Linked DNA regions of Canis lupus familiaris. The main gene of each other region encodes a partner of the protein of the gene in region 3 in a complex. Links are inferred from orthologs where the notes say so. Each region holds a gene or a part of one and is shown on either strand. Other genes may lie near its edges. The genes, in order: FBXL13, IQCG, DRC1, DRC7 and CCDC153.

Region 1 (3,516 bases), on a different chromosome or scaffold from region 3:
TGAAACTTTATTAACCTGTAAACATCACCTTTGCCCTTAGAAATTAAGATGTAGGGGTATCTGTGTGGCTCAGGTGGTTAAGCATCTGCCTTTGGCTCAGATCATGATCTTGGGGTGTTGAGATCGAGCCCTGAGTCGGGCTCCCTGCTTGAGGGGGTGTGTTTCTCCCTCTCCCTCTGCCCTTCCCCCCTGCTCGTGCTCTTTCGCTATCTCATTCTCTTTCAAATAAATAAATAGAACCTTTAAAAAAATTTTAATATATAATAGATGTAATAACACATCAAGACATATATGATACATATAATTTCATTTTTTAATCAACTCTGTTTTTTATAAAACCAGAACATCCAAACTTATTCATAGAAATACAATTATCAGGTGGTATTCTGATTTAGTTGAATGCCCTATGATTAAATAAACTGCTCCATTTTGTGTTTTAACCAAGGATCCCAAAGCTCAAACATATGAGCCAGGCCAGAAAGGAGGATGACTAAGGGCAGGCCCCAGGGACACCACTTAAGAAGACTGTGGCTTCTAAGCTGCAGCCAATTGTTTCTTCTCAGAATTAGAGGCCCATCAATCTTATGTTAAAACCTTCAGAGGGCACCTGGGTGGCTCAATCAGTTAAGTTTCCGACTCTTCATTTCAGCTCAGGTTGTAATCTCAGGGTCATGAGATTGAGTCCCATCCTCTGCCCTGTGCTGGGCATGGAGTCTGCTTAAGATTCTCTCTCTCCCTCTTCCTAAGCCACTTCTCCCCCCCTCACCCCCCATGCTCCCATGTGTGCTTGCTCTCTCTCTTTTCCTCTCTAAAAAATAAAACAAAACAAAACAAAAACCTTCAGAGGGCTCACTGTAACTGAGATATCAAGAGGAAATGATTCTCTGGTTTGCAGCAGCCATAAACCAGTATCTGGTGAAGTGGCTAAATTCTGAGCAAAAGGCTGGAGTTCCCTATTTCTATTCCAAAGATCATGTACATTCATTGTCTATTCATTACAGTTATCAAGGGTATAAGGAAAAGAAAATTTGTTTTCTTTGTTTCCTCATGTATCCATTAAATGAAACATCTGTAAGGAATGGAAAACTCTCTACAAGAAATAGTCCATTTCGGTACCTGTCTGTGATATACCAGCTCTCTGTGAGTAAAAATGATGATAGTAGATCCCTATTTATATTTATATTTGTACATACATCACACAAATACATATAGGATTTCATTTTAAACATGCCTGTTTTCTATTACAATAAAACCCTTTGAGGGCAGCCTGGGTGGCTCAGCGGTTTAGCAGCGCCTTCAGCCCAGGGCCTGATCCTGGAGTCCCAGGATCAAGTCCCATGTCCGGCTCCCTGCATGGAGCCTGCTTCTCCCTCTGCCTGTGTCTCTGCCTCTCTCTCTGTGTCTCTCATGAATGAATAAATAATAAAATATTTTTTTTAAAAAAAACCCTTTGAGACAAATCTCATTAAATATTTTAAATTAGTGGTTTTAGGGATCCCTGGGTGGCGCAGCGGTTTGGCGCCTGCCTTTGGCCCAGGGCGCGATCCTGGAGACCCGGGATCGAATCCCACATCGGGCTCCCGGTGCATGGAGCCTGCTTCTCCCTCTGCCTGTGTCTCTGCCTCTCTCTCTCTCTCTGTGACTATCATAAAAAAAAAAAAAAAAAAAAAAAAAAAAAAAAAAAAAAATAAATTAGTGGTTTTACATTTCATGACAGTTCTCTAGACATCATAACAACTTCTCTAGTACAAACTGCTTAATTGTTAAATGTGTTGATTCTTTGAATACCCGAATACAAAGACCAACTGCTAGTATGTAAAGATTTACCTGTAAGTAGTTTTTTTTGACCTGCTGCATAAGAGTGCCAAAGACGAAATACATATTTTTGAAGTCTGAAATTGTCATATTCTATTGCTTTTTCCATTTTTTCAGCTAGAATGTTCTCTTCATTTATAAGAGGTATTGCTATGTCTCTCCAAATGCTATAGGCAGAAAGTACAGAAAAATAGTATTTTGATATTATGGCAGTACATTACTAATAAATGGAGAGGGAGAGGAGTAATAATACCTCCTTTGTCTCCCCTAAAACCACAGTATAGGGGTTGTTCAATTATTGTTCAATTATTGTTATTGTTTTATTTCCAGCTAGTCCTTGCATTTCCTTTGAGCTTGCTCTTCCTTTTGCTACATTTCTAAAACCCAGAAAAGATCTGAAATTCAGAAGTTTTTGTTGTAACCTATTTAGAGGCAAAACTAGACCTGACCTAAAGTAATTTTGCATTGGGGTACCTCAGCGGCTCAGTTGGTTGAGCATCCGAATTTGGATTTCGGCTCAACTTACGATCTTGCAGTCCTGGGATCCAGCCCTGTATCAGGCTCCACATTCACACAGATTTGACTTGAGATTCTCTCTCTCTCTCTGTCCACCCTCACCCTCCACCCCCCACTCCCACTTTCTGTCTCTAAAATAAATAAATCTTTAAAATAAATAAATAAAAATTTAAAAACTAAAGTAAGTTTGCATCAAAATCCTCCCTGGATTTAACACATAGCTGTTCACAGTCTTTTTTCCACTTTATTTCATATACATTTCATTTTATATACATATACATAATATATAGAGTAGAAATACTAATATATTTGAACATGTTTGGTTCCAACATGCTGCCCCAAACACCACTGAAGATGTTATATAATATATAGAATGTACAGAAGTTACCTTTGTAAAAATTTTTAAGAAAAGGAATCTAAATTTCAAAACATATCTCCAAGGATTTCAGATGAAGATATTGTAGACTTATCCTTTCAATTTTGAAGTTTTATTTTTTTTTAAAAAGCAATGCCTTGAAGTAAAGAACGTATTTTAATTAAATAAAAGCCAAATAAAAATACAAGAAATATACAATGCAAAATGATGGAGACATGATTAAATAGATAAAATCAGAACAACTGGCCAAAAATGAGTTCTTCATGTGGAGAATATTAAGAATAAAAACACAAATAAATAGTATGTAAAAATCATTTTCTTACCAAAAGTGAGTCTTTACTAAATGTCCAGTATAAAAAGTACATGCTTTTATCATCAGTTCTGGAGTCATCTAAAGTAAACAAATAAATGAAATACCAAACATTAGAAATAAATGGAATGCAAAGGCTAACCCCAGAAGATACACAGGAAAATGTGAGCAATGGTTGCACTGGGCAGTAGGGTGACAGGAACAGACTGGAAGAACCACATACCATTTATATATTTTGTAATTTTTTTGTATATGTCTCTTACCTATTTTTTTTCTTTTTTTTTGAGATTTCATCTATTTATTTGACAGAGAGAGAGAGCACAAGCAGGGGGAGCAGCAGGCAGAGGGAGAAGCAGGCTCCATGCAGGGAGAGAGCTGGATGTAGGGCTCCCTCCCAGCAACCTGGGGTCATGACCCAAGCTGAAGGCAGACACCCAACTAACTGAGATACCCAGGCACACCTGTTATCTATTTTTCAGAAGTTAAGATTGCAACTTAA
Region 2 (3,516 bases), on a different chromosome or scaffold from region 3:
TAAAAGAAGAGATTATCATACATGATCACTATGTAATCATATGGAAAATCAATCACTAGCAAACTATCTACATTGAGATTATCTTCTCCCTTCCAAATAGTAGTACATATTTTTCTTTTTTCTTTTTCTTACTTGATTAGCTTTTTTTGAAATCACTAAGTAACAAGTGCATATTGTAATATTTCAAAACTGAATAGGAATTATTTCAAAACTGAATAGGAATCCCGTCCAATTCCCTCCTGTGAAGTAAGCAATGTTAAATCTTTTGATGTATATCCTCCCACATCTTTCTCTATGTTCTTACATATATGGATGAGATTTTTTTTTTAATCATATTGCAGAGGCACCTGAGTGATTCAGCTGCCTTGATCTCAGCTCAGGTGTTGATCTCAGGGTCATGAGTTCAAGCCCAATGTTGGGCTCAACACTAGGCATGAAGCCTACTTAAAAAAAAAAAAAGATAAAAATTTATATTATACACATAATACTGTAGCTTTTTCCATTTATCTGCATATGAAGAAAATTCCTCTGATCAATCATAGAGCTCTCATTTATTCAAATCAAGAGTTGGATGCTCAACTGACTGACCTACTCAGGTGCGCCTCTAATTTATTCTTTTTAACAGCTGCATGTTTCTTATTTCCTAAAATTAACAACTATTCAAGAATTCCTTTATTAAAGGACATTTATACAATTCTAGATTTTTACCATTATGCTACAATGAATATTTTGTGTATATATATATATAATATGAGCTAATTTTTTCCTATATTTTCAAAGTAGAAATGTTGGGTCAAAGAGTATATGTATTTTATTTAGTTTTTTGGTTAATAAGTTTATTTACAAGAGGCATCTGGGTGGCTCAGTCAGTTGAGCATCTAACGCATGTTTTGGCTCAGGTCATGATCTCAGGGTCATGGGATCGAGCCCCACGACAGGCTCCATGCTCAGCATGGAGTCTGCTTCTCCCTCTCTCTGCTCCTCCCCCTCCTCACTCTCTCTCAAATAAATAAATAAAATCTTTGAGAACATAAGTTTATTTTCTCTCTTAGTAAGGTGAAGACTTAGAAAATACTGAAGATTTTTTTTTAAAAAAACAGCCAAATTATTAACACACTGGTATATTCCCTTTCAGTTTTCATTTTCTTTTCTTTTTTTTTTTTTTAAAGATTTTATTTATTTATTCATGAGAGAGAGAGAGAGAGAGGCAGAGACACAGGCAGAGGGAGAAGCAGGCTCCATGCTGGGAGCCCGAGGTGGGACTCGATCCCGGGACTCCAGGACCACATCCTGGGCTGAAGGCGGTGCTAAACTGCTGAGCCACCCAGGGATCCCCTAGTTTTCATTTTCTATTCATGTTTTTTTTTTCAGTTTTATTATATAGATGGGATAATACTTTATTATTTCCAGCCTTTCTTTTTCAACTTAAAATTGTGACATAAACATTTCCCCCGTTATTATAACTTTGTAAACAATACTTTAAATCTTTTTTTTTTTTAAGATTTTTAAAATTTCTTTATTCATGAGAGACAGAGAGAGAGAGAGGCAGAGACACAGGCAGAGGGAGAAGCAGGCTCCATGCAGGGAGCCTGACGTGGGACTCGATCCCGGGTCTCCAGGATCAGGCCCTGGGCTGAAGGCAGTGCTAAACCGCTGAGCCACGGGGGCTGCCCGCAAATGACATTTCTGATAAAGGGTTGGTACCCAAAATATACAAAAAACTTATAAAACTCTACACCCCTAAAAATAATCCAGTTAAAAAATAGGCAGAAGACATGAACAGAGATTTCTCCAGAGAAGACACCAGATGGCTACTAGACACATGAAAAGATGTTCATCAAAACTTACCTATCATTAGGGAAATACACATCAAAACTATAATGAGATATCACTTCACATCTGTCAGAATGGCTAAAATCAACAACACAAGAAACAACAGGTGTTGGCTGAAGATGTGGAGAAAAACAGAACCCTTTGCACTCTTTGTGGGAATGCAAATTGATAGAGCCACTGTGGAAAACAGTATGGAGTTTCTTTAAAAAGTTAAAAATGGAACTACCCTACAATCCAGTAATCACACTACTAGGTTTTCACCCAAAGAATACAAAAACACTAATTCAGAGGGATACATGCATCTCTACATTTGTAGCAGCATCATTTACAGTAGCCAAGTATGGAAGCAGCCCAAGTGTCCATTGATTAAAAAATGGATAAAGAATATGTGGTATAGGGGCACCTGGGTGGCTCAGTTGGTTAAGAATATGTGGTATGTCTACAATGGAATATTATTTGGCCATAAACAAGATGAAATCTTGCCATTTGCAACAACATGGATGGAACTAGAGAGTGTAATGCTAAGCAAAATAAGTCAGTCAGAGAAAGACAAACACCATATGATTTCATTCATATGTGGAATTTAAGGAAAAAACAAATGAACAAGCAAAGGAAAAAAAGAGGAAAACAAACTAAGAAACAGACTCTTAACTATAGAGAACAAAGTGATGGTTGCCAGAGGAGGGGGATATGGGTTAAACAGATGATGTAGATTAAGGAGTACAATTATCATGATAAGCACGAGTATTGCATGGAAGTGGTGAATCACTATATTGTACACCTGAAAATAATACTACTAAATAATGTTAACTAACTGAAATTCACTTTTTTTTTTTTAAAAAAAGAAAGATTACTATACAATAGGAATAATACTTTTTTTTTTTTGGAAGAATACTTTTGACATATTATAGATACACATAACTAAAGCCCAGAAATCTGAATTAGCACCTAAATTTCTGAGGTCTATTTACCTTCCCTGGAAATCACAAATTTGATTTGCTTTAGAAATCAAGGACTTCTAGGAAAGGCTAATAGCACTTTAAAATACAACACAGCAAATAAACATATTACTCGGACCTGGCAATGATATCATAGAAATGCATTTTGTTTTCTCTTTCTTTGCCCAGAGCTTCCAGAAGACTGGTGAAAGTGCCTGACTCTTCTAACTCCTGCATGGTCTTTGTAATTATATCACTGAAAAATTGCCTGTAAGGAGACACAAAAGGATGAGTTAATAAAGTATATATACAAAGGGCTACAGAAGTCACACAGGTTAAGACCCAGGATAAAAAGCATGACTAGCTGGAATTATTCCTGGAATGCAAGAATAGTTTAGCATTAGAAAATCTATTAATAGAATTCATCACATAAACAAAAGCAAAAGGAGGGACGACTGGGTGGTTCAGTGGTTGAGCGTCTGCCATCTACTTTGGCTTAGGGCATGATCCTGGAGTCCCAGGATCCAGTCCCACATTGGGCCCCCTGCATGGAGCCTGCTTCTCCCTCTGCCTGTGTCTCTGCCTCTCTCTCTCTCTGTGTCTCTCATGAATAAATAAAATCTTTTAAAACAAAACAAAACAAAAACAAAAGCAAAAGGAAACAAACCATATGGCTATCGCAATAGATGCAAAAAAGGTATTAGGCAAAATTCAGTACCCACTCATTTGAAAATAAACAACAAAA
Region 3 (3,516 bases):
TTTAAACGTATGAAAAGATAACCAGGTTTCTTTTAATAAGAGAAGTGCAAATTAAAACTGTCCAAATTCCATGTGCAACTGTCACATTGGCAAGACTGTGCGAGTTGATAGCACATAGTGATTGGCCGAAGCGTGGGAACCAGACAGGCTCCTAAGTTGCCGCTGTGAGAGCCAAATGTTGCAGCGTCCCTATGGATGACTTCACCATGTACTCTATACCCTGCAGTTCTCCTAGGATTTCACTCTGCAGCTATGTCTCAATACATTTGAAAGGATGTGTTTATTGTAGCTCATTGGTTGCAGCATTGCTAGAAGTGGGAGAAGATTGAAAACAATCTACAATTCCATCGTGAAAGAATTCATTGTTCAGGGGAACAAGCCAAACCTCCTGCTCTTAGGAGCTGTGGTGAATCTACATAGTGGAATACTATGCACCGGTAAAAAAAAAAAAACAAAAAAGTTCTTTACGTATTTATGCGAAAACATCCCTAAGGTTTATTGTGAAACATGTAAAGTGCAGAACTGTGTGTGTCATAGAGCATCATTCCTGTGACAACGGGAGGGAAGGCGTTGCTTGTAGGGACATAGTATTTCTTTGGAAGGATACGTAAGAAACTGATGACATTGGTTTACCTTGGCATCTGTCACCCCCACAGGAGCAAACAAGCCTGATGTCGGCACTGGAGCCAGGAGAGAAGAGAGACCTTGAGGAACAGAAGGAGGAAAGCCTTGGGGAAGGGGAGGCAGAAGAGAAGGAGCATCCCCCTTCTCCCATGCTCATCCACCCCAACGATGTCCTCAAGATCCTGGAGGCCTTTGTCATGGGTCTGAAGAAGCCCAGGTGTGGTGCTGGAGGGCTTGCTTGAAGCGGGCTGGGCAGAGGCCATGCAGATGCTATAGTCTGAGTGTGGAGGTTGCAGGACAGGAACCTGGGTGGGGAGGAGAGGCTGGTCCTCGGGAGGGCTGGAGGAATCGGGGGACAAGTGGACATGAAGGAAAGAAATAGGCGTAGAAGTGATTTTCTCATTCATCATTCATTCAACAGTCACTGGGGTCTGCTGGGTGTGGGCCCTGTGGAGGGAGCGCTTGGTTATCAGAAAATGGGCAGAGCATAACAAGGTGTCACGTCACTTGGGAGAGGCAGTGGCTTCCCCATCTGGCATGTCCGAGAGGGGTTTAGGCACCCAAACTGGGTTTTCCTGGGTGGATTAAGTGGGAGGAAAGGGCACTTCAGGGTGTCACAGTATGGGGAAAGGCCTGGTATATTCCAGAATCGTGGCAGAGAGGTGTGGCTAGTGTCAGGGTCTTCCCTGGGAAGTGAGACCAGTGGGCAGGGGAGCCAGGCAAGGAGAGCCTTGCTCGCCGTGCCCAAGATCTTTGTCTTTGTCCTTTAGTGGCCCGGAGCCAGAGCATGGTTTTAAGCAGTGGAGGCGCCATGGTTGGGCTTGCATTTTGCAAAGATCCCTTTGGTGGTGGGGAGGGGGCGGTGATGCCAGATACAGGAGAGCAGCTGAAAGGTTTGTCCTGGTGGAGTTGATGATATCCTGGATCAAGGCTATCCTTGAGGGGATGCCGAATTCTGAGAGGTGTTTTGGATGCATTAGTGAAAGAACTGGGCATAGTAGCGGGATATAAAGTCAGTGAGGTAAACTGACTGAGAGAAAGGGGATGACAAAAGCGACAATGGCACCAGGAGTCAGGAATGCTGAGGGCAGTCATGTGCACTTTCTGAGAATTGGCCATAAGCCGGTAGACTCACGAAGCTGAGTGGGAAGGTGACTGGTGGACAAGCAGAGTCTGTGAGGGACAGGCACTGTGACTAGCCCCACGTGGGGACCTGGGGGGTGCCAGGTGGCGATGATGATACTGTTGCTCTTAACCTTCAGGGACTCCCGGGCACCAGTGAAGTTGAAGCATGTGCGAGATGACTCGAAGGACTCTGAGTATTGGGAGGCCCTGACCACAGTTATCTCTGATACCACGCAGAACCTCTGGGACGCTCTGTACACAGCTTTGGAGAAGTATCAGTGAGTGTGCATGTCATAGCCCAGGAGAAGGAGGGGCCCAGCCAGTTGGTGGAGGAGGATTCTGCTTGCAGTGGCCAGTTTGCCACCTCCCTGACTTGGAGAGAAAAGCTGCCTTTGGAGGGAAAGGTCCTGTTGAAGGGGCATGTGGTATTGTTGGGTGGCTGGTCCTCTGGCTTCCTATTCTGTTCCTGCTAGCCTGGTTTGTTTTGGGCAGGGAGGTTGCTCTGGGGTCAGGCTTCTGGAATCCTCTTCCACCTCTAAACAGACCAGAAACACAGAGATCCTGGTCCCTACTTGGCAGAGGATGCAGGATTCAATGAGCCTCTAACTGATTTTTCCACCCAAAGCCTCATCCTGACCCAGAGGGCCACGCTGCTGATAGAAAACAACTCTCTGGAGCAGCAGAACACAGAGCTCCAGATGCTGCTTCAACAGTATCTAGATTCCAAGGTGGGTGACGGACCCTCCAAGGACGGTAGGCAGGCGGCCAAGGGAGGCAGTGGGGCTGGAGCTGATATTAGGAAATGAGTCTCTTTCCTCACCAGAAGCAAGGGAGCATTGAGGTGTGACATAAAGTATCAACAGTCATACCTGAGGTTGGGACAGAATTATTGGGCAAGGGAATGGACAATCCTAAAGCCTTCTCTGAGATGTTTGGGCTGTGAGAGTGCCCCTTTCATACCCATGGTCTTTGGCACAAGCTGCTTGTTGGACTATTCTTGGAAGCAGTGCCAAAGCTCACGATGGCTTCATAGCCCACAGAACCCTTCCTTATGAATTTTCTTCTTTGTCTTAACAACCCCTCTGTGAGGTCAATAGGGCATAGATGATTCTCCCAAAAAGGAGAATCAAGACTGGGTGACTCTGTGACATGCCCAGAGCCCTGGGCTCTTCCCATATTACTGACCCAGGTTGTCCGGCCTGGGATGTAACACGGTGAGAGGAGGCGCCAACTGGGATAGATATTTGCTGGCCCCCATTCTTGCCCGCTCCAGTGTGGTTGGGGCAACTGTTCCCATGGCCTGCAGGAGAGGAAATCTCACTGCCTCTGCTCCAAAGATTAGAATCCACTCATAACACAGTTGGTGGCTCTGCTCTGCTAGTGTAGAATCTTTTACATGATGCTGAAGCCCTGGGCCAGGACAGCCTTAACACACTGGGCTGAGGGTAGGTTCTCCTCACCAGCGGTGTGTGTGAGAGGTGACTGAGGCCAGCCACAAGCCCCGGAACTGAGAATGTGGCCCCACCATGGTCTCAGGCCCCAGGCCACACCTGAGCAGAGGATGTGGTAAGCCTTGGTGTCGTGATGGCCTGTTGGCCTGTGATACACATTAGAGGACTATGTGGTCCGTGCTTTTGTCCACGCTGCTGTGTACAAGAAGATGGGGGGGGGGGGGAGGGAGGGGGAGGGCTAGACTGGTGATGGGATGCACAGGTGAGGGGGGGGGAGGGAGGATTTAAGAGAGTGGCTCAGAGCAGAAGGTTAAGA
Region 4 (3,516 bases), on a different chromosome or scaffold from region 3:
TGGAGCAGCCCTTCCTGCCGCCGATGGCTCCCCAGGGCCCCGTGGGTCCTCAGCCGGGCCACCTCAGCCCTGATGCTGCGGCATTTCTTCTCTTCCCGCACAGGGTTCTATTTGCTCACCTCCAGAGATAGGGAGCTCACCACCTCGCCAGGCGCCCTGCTTTATCACTACACATCCCTTCCTGCTGGGAAGAGCTCCTTGGGTAGACAGCCATTAGCCACAGCTGCCAGGTCATTTGCAGGGATGTGGAGGGAAAAGGGCCGATTCAATGTGAGGTGAGCGATACAGGGGTCCTACCTTCGCTCACACACACATCTCAAATAGGTTAGAAAAGACTCCCAAGAACCAAGCCTATGGACACTGGCACAGTAGTATCTGAGAGCCACCGTTCTAGTGTGCACGTATGGCACAGTGGCAGGGGGCACAATCTCTCCCGCTTTATAACCAGGAGGTGCCCCCTCCTGAAGGTGTGGCTCCAGCGCTGCCGCAGAGAGCGGGCGCCCTGTGCCTGCCCCAACGACAGCTCACCACCACTGGCCGCGGGTTTGACTCTGCGCTGTTCAGAGCCAACTTCTTCACCCTGGGCCCAAAATCCACGTGGCGGTAGGAGAGGAAGTCAGACCGTCCTCGGTAGTGCTCCGTCATCGAGCTGGGCGTCTCCTCCCGCTTTACCAGGCCGTCCACACGGGCTGTCTCGTAGAACTCCATGACCCGGTCCATCTCGGGTTGCATAGACACGTACGAGTGCGCTGTGGTGGGAGGCGGGGGCCGGGAAGGCAGCGGGGTGAGACCAGGAGCGCTGGCCCCTGGCTTGAGAACCCGGGCCCGGGCCCCAGGGAGAAGGCATGTCCATGGATGCTCGCGGATGAGCAGGACTTATGGAACCAATGCCCCACTGCTGGGTGTTCAGGTTGTTTCTCACCTTTTTGTCATTAGAAACAACACCAGGGTGAACATTCTTTAGTTCTTGCCCAGTATTTGCTCAGGACAAATTCTCAGAGGTAGCACAGCTGGTCGAAAAGCGTATGTATTTTAAAGCTATTATTATTTTGCCCAACTACTTTCTCGAAAAGTTGAGCCAGTTTGCTGTCCTATGAGCAGTGACAGGGAGCAACTCTCTGCTGCTTTGCTTACACACCGGTAGGACCATTTTGTCATCTTCGCAACATGAGGTTTGTAAAACGGCTCCTTCCTTCCTTCCTTCCTTCCTTCCTTCCTTCCTTCCTTCCTTCCTTCCTTCCTTCCTTCCTTCCTTCCTTCCTTTTTCTTTCATTTCAGCCATCAAGTGAGTTTGATCATTTTTAAAGGATATATAATGACACTAGGCTTTTCTTCTCTGTGTCCTTGGTTAGGGCTGTTGATTCTTTCAAGACACATCCTTCCCTCACTTCCCTGCCTCTTGGGCTCATGACCACACCCCTGCCCTCCGCATCGCCCTTGTGGGGGCATTTGTTAGTTTTGTTGCTCTGTGTCCTGACCCCTTAGAAAGGTGGCCTTCAGCATGTGCCTAGCCCTAAGCACAGAATGGGCATGTGGCCCTGGTTTTGACTTTCCTGGAGGGACATTTGTCACATCTTCTGCACTTCCCCTGGCCTCGTGCACATCTGGTTTGCTTAGGGAGGCAGGGGTGGGGGCTTATGTTGCTTGTCATACCCTGGGCTCCCACTGGGACCGACAGCGGGTTCCACTCACCACGCAGAGCCTGGGGATGGCCTGGCTTGAAGTAGTCGATATTCAGACCTGTGCTCTTGTTGATGTGTTTTAGCTCTAGCATATCCTCCCGGTTCTGGTACCACTCCTTTATCTCCAAAGTCTTGGTACCTGCAGGGCACGATCAGTACTTGCCACAGCCAGGCTGGCTCCCCCAGCCTCTGTCCCACCCTTCCCGGCACACAGGTCAGCGGGGGCCCACACGCACAACAAGTGCCTGGCAGGGACGTGCCCAAGGTCACATAGCCCACTGGGGAACCCAGCTCTCCTGCCCTCGCGGCCGGGGCTGCCCGCCTTACACTCCAAGTCCTCGTAGGTGGTGAGGCGGCACACGAGGCCATTGTTGTTGAGATATGGGGCCCACTTCTCCAGCTTGGCCCTCTTGTACTGGATCACCTTCTTCCCACTGGGGCAGCGGGTCTCGAACGCTGCAGACACAGAGTGGGCTGGGGTCCCGCCTCCCCAGATTGGGGCACTAGAGGGCCAACCCCACTCAGCCACTCATCTGGTCACTGTGCTAAACTCCTCCAGGCCCCAAGCCCACTCCAGGGAGACAGAGGGAAGTAGTCACCAGGGTAGCTCCTGCCCTGGAGGAGTTCTCAGCTTTGAGCCTGACCACGGGAGCTGTGCCCTACCACACCACTCACTCGCTGCTGGGCCTCTGCCTGTGCAGGTCTCTCTGCGGGAATCACCATCCCCTCCTGCCCTTACTGGGCTGGCTTCTGATCCCTTAAAACCCTGCTCAGACTCCTCCTCCTCTTGGAAGCCCTTCCTGCCCACCTTCTCCCAGTCCCCAAGCGGGCAGCTGGGCTGGGAACTCCTCCCCTGGTTCCCATGATGCCCTCTCTAGCCCTTCCCACTGTTGGAATACCCTATGCCCTCCGTGTGGGTCTAGGCCTCCCAGACAGGAACCTCAACAGCCAGTAGATGTTGGCGTGGCTCACAAGTGGCCCTTCCCTGCTGCTTTCTCTGCCTACTCCTCCCTGGGGAGCTGCTCCTCCCTGGTCCTGATGCCTCTGCTCCCCTCTGCCATCTGGGTACTATGCTGTTTGGCCTCCTCCTGGCAGGGGGGTGGGGGAGGGCAACAACCACGTCCTGGTCCTCCGTCCTTTATTTTTTTATTATTTATTTTTAAAAATATTTTATTTATTTATTCATGAGAGACACAGACTGAGAGAGAGAGAGAGAGAGAGAGAGAGAGAGGCAGAGACACAGGCAGAGGGAGAAGCAGACTCCATGCAGGGAACCTGATGTGGGACTTGATCCCGGGACTCCAGGATCACACCCTGGACCGAAGGCAGGTGCCAAACCGCTGAGCCACCCAGGGATCCCTCTCCTCCGTCCTTTATTATCCACACTCCATCACCTAGCACAGGTTAACCTGGCACCCCTCCCTTCCTCCCCCGTACACCAGACTGGTGTCAGGCCCCCAGCCACAGAGCTGAGTGCATGTGGCGGGAAGTAGATAGAACAGAGACACTGTTCAGAGCAGGGTGCATCAGGGCACAGCAGAAGGCAGGAGAGGTGGAAATGAGGGGCTGGGGCAGCCTTCACTGGCTCCCCCACTAACTGGTCCTGGGGAGGCAAGGAACACAAATGTGCATGTACCTTCTGGGGAGATCTCAATCTGCTCCACCCATGAGGGTGGCATGTCGAAACTCTTATCCTCATCCTCCTTGCCCTGTTGGGAGAGGTGGGGAGGGGGCAGGCTCTGGTCAGGGCTGGGCCTTGGAGCGGAAGCTAGAGGCAGAGCCTCTGTCTTGCCCCCCCCAGGGCCAAGCCACAGTGGCTGCTAGCTCCCCCAGG
Region 5 (4,216 bases), on a different chromosome or scaffold from region 3:
TCATAGAAGGGTGGTATGTGCCAAGCACAAAGCTTAAGACAGCAAGGTTCTTAGGGGTGGGGGTGAATGGGTGACGGGCACTGAGGGGGGCACTTGACGGGATGAGCACTGGGTGTTATTCTGTATGTTGGCAAATTGAACACCAATAAAAAATAAATTTATTATTAAAAAAAAAAAAGACAGCAAGGTTCTGGAGAGTCCACTCTCTCCTATCCGTAAATCCTCAGTGTAGTTGGAGGGGAAAGGGCTTCAGAGCTGGTTAGCCATGCTTCATTTCCATGTAGCACTGCCTGAAGTCTGGAGACTGAGAAGTTACAGATTTCCATATCTGATACGATGCTGTCACAGGAAAATGCTGAAACAGGAAAAGAGCTGACAGTAGCCATCTTGGGCGATTTACATCACTAGGGCTCATGAGCAAGTGCCATTATTAGGCCTCAGGGAGGTATTCTAGAGTGTGTGAGCGAAAGAAATGCAGGAGAAGGCAGCTGAGAGAGTTTCTCAGTTTGGAGAGAGGAGACACAGAGGAGAGGAGGACCCACAGACTCCAGGGTGCTGACATAAAGGGCTGCAGATGTAGAAGAAAGGGTAGTAGTGGGAGACAAGAGCCATGAGTTCTAGTCCTCCCTCCAGTTACGTAAACTTGGGTCAGTTGTTTAATTTTGCTCAACCTCAGTTTCCTAGTTTTTATTATATATATTTTAAAGATTTTATTTATTTATTCATGAGAGACACGCAGAGAGAGGCAGAGACATAGGCAGAGGGAGAAGCAGGCTCCCTGTGGGGAGCCCCATGCAGGACTTGATTCCAGGACCCCAGGATCACGCCCTGAGCCAAAGGCAGACACTCAACCACTGAGCCACCCAGGTACCCCTTAGTTTCCTGGTCTTTAAGTCTTTGATTTGGTAAATCCTAAAAGGGCTGGGTTTTAACTGGGAATTCACAGGGCCATCTTCCCTTGCGGGGACTTAATTTATTGCCTCTCTTCCTCTATTCCCTTCTGTGGCTGGTTTTCAGTCAGGTGCTGCGAAACTCCTTTGCTAGGCTTCATGTAGAATTGAGTTGGTCGGGGCTCCCTCTAGTGGACTTGCTTGACCTCAGGAGTCTCCTCAATTTTTCTACTTAAATTATTGGGCCATGGGATCCCTGGGTGGCGCAGCGGTTTGGCGCCTGCCTTTGGCCCAGGGCGTGATCCTGGAGATCCGGGATCGAATCCCACATCGGGCTCCCGGTTGCTTCTCCCTCTGCGTCTCTCTCTCTCTCTCTTTCTGTGACTATCATAAATAAATAAAAATAAAAAAAAATTATTGGGCCATGTTGGGAGTGCCTCTCTCTAGGGGATACTTCCTAGCCTCTTGCTGGGGCATGAGTGGTTGGAAAAATGGTTCTGGGGAAGGGAGTATGATGGGTGACTTGTCCTTGTTAGGCAACCCCCAACCCTCTCTCCTCCAGCCCTGTGTTAGTTATTCTGGAGCTTTTTCATCTGTCTGCTGCCTGGATCTCTGGGAACCATACACTTGCTAGAATGAAAACAGCAAAAAACATCAGGGATTTTCCCTTTGTGGATCAAGGAACCTGCAGATTCTCTTGTTATTTCTCTCAATCTCTGTCCCCCTCAACATTTTTGGTCAATTGCCTGTCCTCAGGAGCAGATCTGAAGAAATAGCTTTGCGATCTGGGTTTTAAAAATCCTTTCCCTGGGGAGTGGAGAGATTCAGATGGGGCTGATTTATGCTTATTTGTCACCTTGGTGGCTGCTGGGTACTTCTCTGATGCTTGAGAGATTTTACAGAGTATAGAGAAGAATACTTGCCTTTTCTGGGGCTTATAGTTCCCGTAATGTAGGGTCAGATAACTTTGTTCACAACTCCCAAATCTGGAGAATACTTTTCTTCTCATCTTGAAGTGTGTTTCATTTATTCTCCCCTCAGAACTCTTTCCTCTGCATAGGAATGCAGGAGAGGTTCCCACCACAGTCCTCTCCTCATCTAGAAGCCTGTTTGGGGTCACTTTTCAGGGAATGATTGGTTTCTGCATTGTGCTGATGCATGCGATGACATTTTGAGGACAGAGTTTACAGAATACAAACAACATATCACGCCTCAGAAGAGGATTTACTTTTCAAATATGTTCAGTCAACCGACTTTCAGGTGCAGAATGAGGATGTGGTTTGGGTGAAGGTGAAATGGAAGAAGAAAAGTGCCCCATGTCACATGATGTGATGATACAAACTGAGCCAGATCTAGAATGACCCAAGAATGCGAATGACATTGTGATCAACAATCCAATCCCCATCCTCAGTATGCTTTGAAAACAAGCCAAGTAAAAATTGTGGTGGTTGGGGGGAAGGTCAATCTTTCCTTCTTTTTTTCATTAACTTCAGATTAGAAGTGAAAAATAAGAAAGATCATCTCAGCAGAACTCTGTCCTCCTTTGAATAGGATTCCATCTGGGAGTTTTGAAGAGATATAGAGGAAAGAACTGTCACTCCCTCTGCTTTATTCAAATGCGAGAGAGAGTTTATTTGTATATTTAAAGAAATGTGGCTTTAAAAAAAAATTTTGATAGGGCACCTGGGTGGCACAGTTAGGCATCTGACTCCTGATTTGGGCTCAAGTCCTCATCTCAGGGTGGTGAGATTGAGCCCCTCCTTGGATCATGAGCTCAGTGCAGATGGAGTTTGCGGGAGATTCTCTGCCCCTCCATTCACTTGCTCCACTTGTGTGTGCCATGCACATTCTCTCTCTCTCTCTCAAATAAATAAATCTTAAAAAAAAGTATGTATTTTTTTCTTTTTTGAGAGGAGGGAAGGGAAGAGAGGGAATCTTTTTTTTTTTTAAAGACTTATTTATTTATTCATGAGAGACACAGAGAGGCAGTGACACAGGCAGAGGGAGAAGCAGGCTCCATGCAGGGAGCCTGATGTGGGACTCGATCCTGGGTCCCCAGGATCATGCCCTGGGCTAAAGGCAGACACTAAGCCACTGAGCCACCCAGGGATCCCAAAGAGAGGGAATCTTAAGCAGGCTCTATACCCAGTGTAAGCCCAATACAGGGCTTGACCTCACGACTCTGTCATCATGACCTGAGCTGAAATCCAGAGTCCAGGGCTTAACCGACTGAGTCACCCAGGCGCCACCAGAGATACAGCTTCTGCAAGCAGAAACAAAGTACAAATTATACAGTTACACTCTATCCAGGTGGTGCCGAAGATAATACAAATTGGAAGGCTTAAAGGAAGCCAGAGATGTGTAGATGAACCAGATGAACTCATATAGGCCCAAGGGTTAATTTCTTACCTGTTACTCCAGTAAATCTAGCATTTGATGATGAGGGGGAAAAATACCCTGTGTACCTACAACGTGTTAGGTACCCCAGAAGACCAAAGTCAATGAAATAGCATAGCATAAATAAATGTGGTACCTGTGAGAATGAACAGTTAGTGAAATTTATTTTTATTATTATTTTTAAAAATTATTTATTTATTCATGAGAGACAGAGAGAGAGGCAGAAACATAGGCAGAGGGAGAAGAGAAGCAGGCTTCCTGTGGGAAGCCTGAAGTGGGACTCCACCCCAGGACCCCTGGCACCATGAGCCAAAGGCAGATGCTCAACCACTGAGCCACCCAGGTGCCCCCAGTTTTGACAGTTATCTTAGAGCCTTGCCTAGATTTTCCTTTGGGAGATTTCTTCTCTCTCTCTCTCTCTCTCTCTCTCTTTTTTTTTAAAGATTTCTTCTCTTTCTAGGCAGGAACTGATAAGAGGAAATTCTGATAGTAAACGATAATGTTGACTCCATAATCAATCTTAGATAAAGGCCATTGAATTTCAAAGCAAGGATGTCTGGCTTATGAGTCCTTGAGTTCAGAGAGATTTTTCTCCCCTCTATGCCAGGAGCACATGATACACTTAATTCCTTAATCAGTTAAGGGCTTTGTGGAAGACCCAGGTAGGGGATCTAAGACAGAATTGAGCATTTAACAGACACGCTAGAGCCTGCAAGCTCCCAAAGAGGAGGCTCAGAATTAGCAAATCAGGGCAGGGCACTTCCTTCTTTTGGAAGAAAAGTTCCCCTTTTTTTTTTCAGAGTTTTTCCAACAGAACTTTTTAGATTAGAGAAGTGGAAATGACTGGGAACTGCATTTCTGTTCCACGCGGGGAGTGAGTCCTCCCCTGGCCAGGGCCGGCAGCTGCCTCGGGCCTGGGCCGCTGTGGT

Evidence for each region.
Region 1: DRC1 (region 3) and FBXL13 share a complex: the UniProt entries of both Homo sapiens proteins name them as parts of the nexin-dynein regulatory complex. The link is inferred for Canis lupus familiaris from reciprocal best matches to the Homo sapiens genes DRC1 and FBXL13.
Region 2: DRC1 (region 3) and IQCG share a complex: the UniProt entries of both Homo sapiens proteins name them as parts of the nexin-dynein regulatory complex. The link is inferred for Canis lupus familiaris from reciprocal best matches to the Homo sapiens genes DRC1 and DRC9.
Region 4: DRC1 (region 3) and DRC7 share a complex: the UniProt entries of both Homo sapiens proteins name them as parts of the nexin-dynein regulatory complex. The link is inferred for Canis lupus familiaris from reciprocal best matches to the Homo sapiens genes DRC1 and DRC7.
Region 5: DRC1 (region 3) and CCDC153 share a complex: the UniProt entries of both Homo sapiens proteins name them as parts of the nexin-dynein regulatory complex. The link is inferred for Canis lupus familiaris from reciprocal best matches to the Homo sapiens genes DRC1 and DRC12.

What each region holds. Positions count from the first base shown.
Region 1 is NC_049239.1:17,323,172-17,326,687, reverse strand, and holds part of FBXL13 (dynein regulatory complex subunit 6), read right to left. Parts: intron 3,099-3,516; coding exon 3,031-3,098; intron 1,983-3,030; coding exon 1,828-1,982; intron 1-1,827. UniProt on the Homo sapiens protein: Substrate-recognition component of the SCF (SKP1-CUL1-F-box protein)-type E3 ubiquitin ligase complex.
Region 2 is NC_049254.1:29,454,213-29,457,728, reverse strand, and holds part of IQCG (dynein regulatory complex protein 9), read right to left. Parts: intron 3,040-3,516; coding exon 2,911-3,039; intron 1-2,910. UniProt on the Homo sapiens protein: Component of the nexin-dynein regulatory complex (N-DRC), a key regulator of ciliary/flagellar motility which maintains the alignment and integrity of the distal axoneme and regulates microtubule sliding in motile axonemes.
Region 3 is NC_049238.1:20,579,903-20,583,418, forward strand, and holds part of DRC1 (dynein regulatory complex protein 1), read left to right. Parts: intron 1-656; coding exon 657-841; intron 842-1,886; coding exon 1,887-2,027; intron 2,028-2,374; coding exon 2,375-2,477; intron 2,478-3,516. UniProt on the Homo sapiens protein: Component of the nexin-dynein regulatory complex (N-DRC) a key regulator of ciliary/flagellar motility which maintains the alignment and integrity of the distal axoneme and regulates microtubule sliding in motile axonemes.
Region 4 is NC_049223.1:58,032,839-58,036,354, forward strand, and holds part of DRC7 (dynein regulatory complex subunit 7), read right to left. Parts: intron 3,392-3,516; coding exon 3,319-3,391; intron 2,139-3,318; coding exon 2,010-2,138; intron 1,822-2,009; coding exon 1,693-1,821; intron 750-1,692; coding exon 529-749; intron 1-528. UniProt on the Homo sapiens protein: Component of the nexin-dynein regulatory complex (N-DRC) a key regulator of ciliary/flagellar motility which maintains the alignment and integrity of the distal axoneme and regulates microtubule sliding in motile axonemes.
Region 5 is NC_049226.1:14,703,661-14,707,876, reverse strand, and holds the start of CCDC153 (coiled-coil domain-containing protein 153), read right to left. Parts: upstream 2,815-4,216; 5' UTR 5-2,814; coding exon 1-4. UniProt on the Homo sapiens protein: Component of the nexin-dynein regulatory complex (N-DRC), a key regulator of ciliary/flagellar motility which maintains the alignment and integrity of the distal axoneme and regulates microtubule sliding in motile axonemes.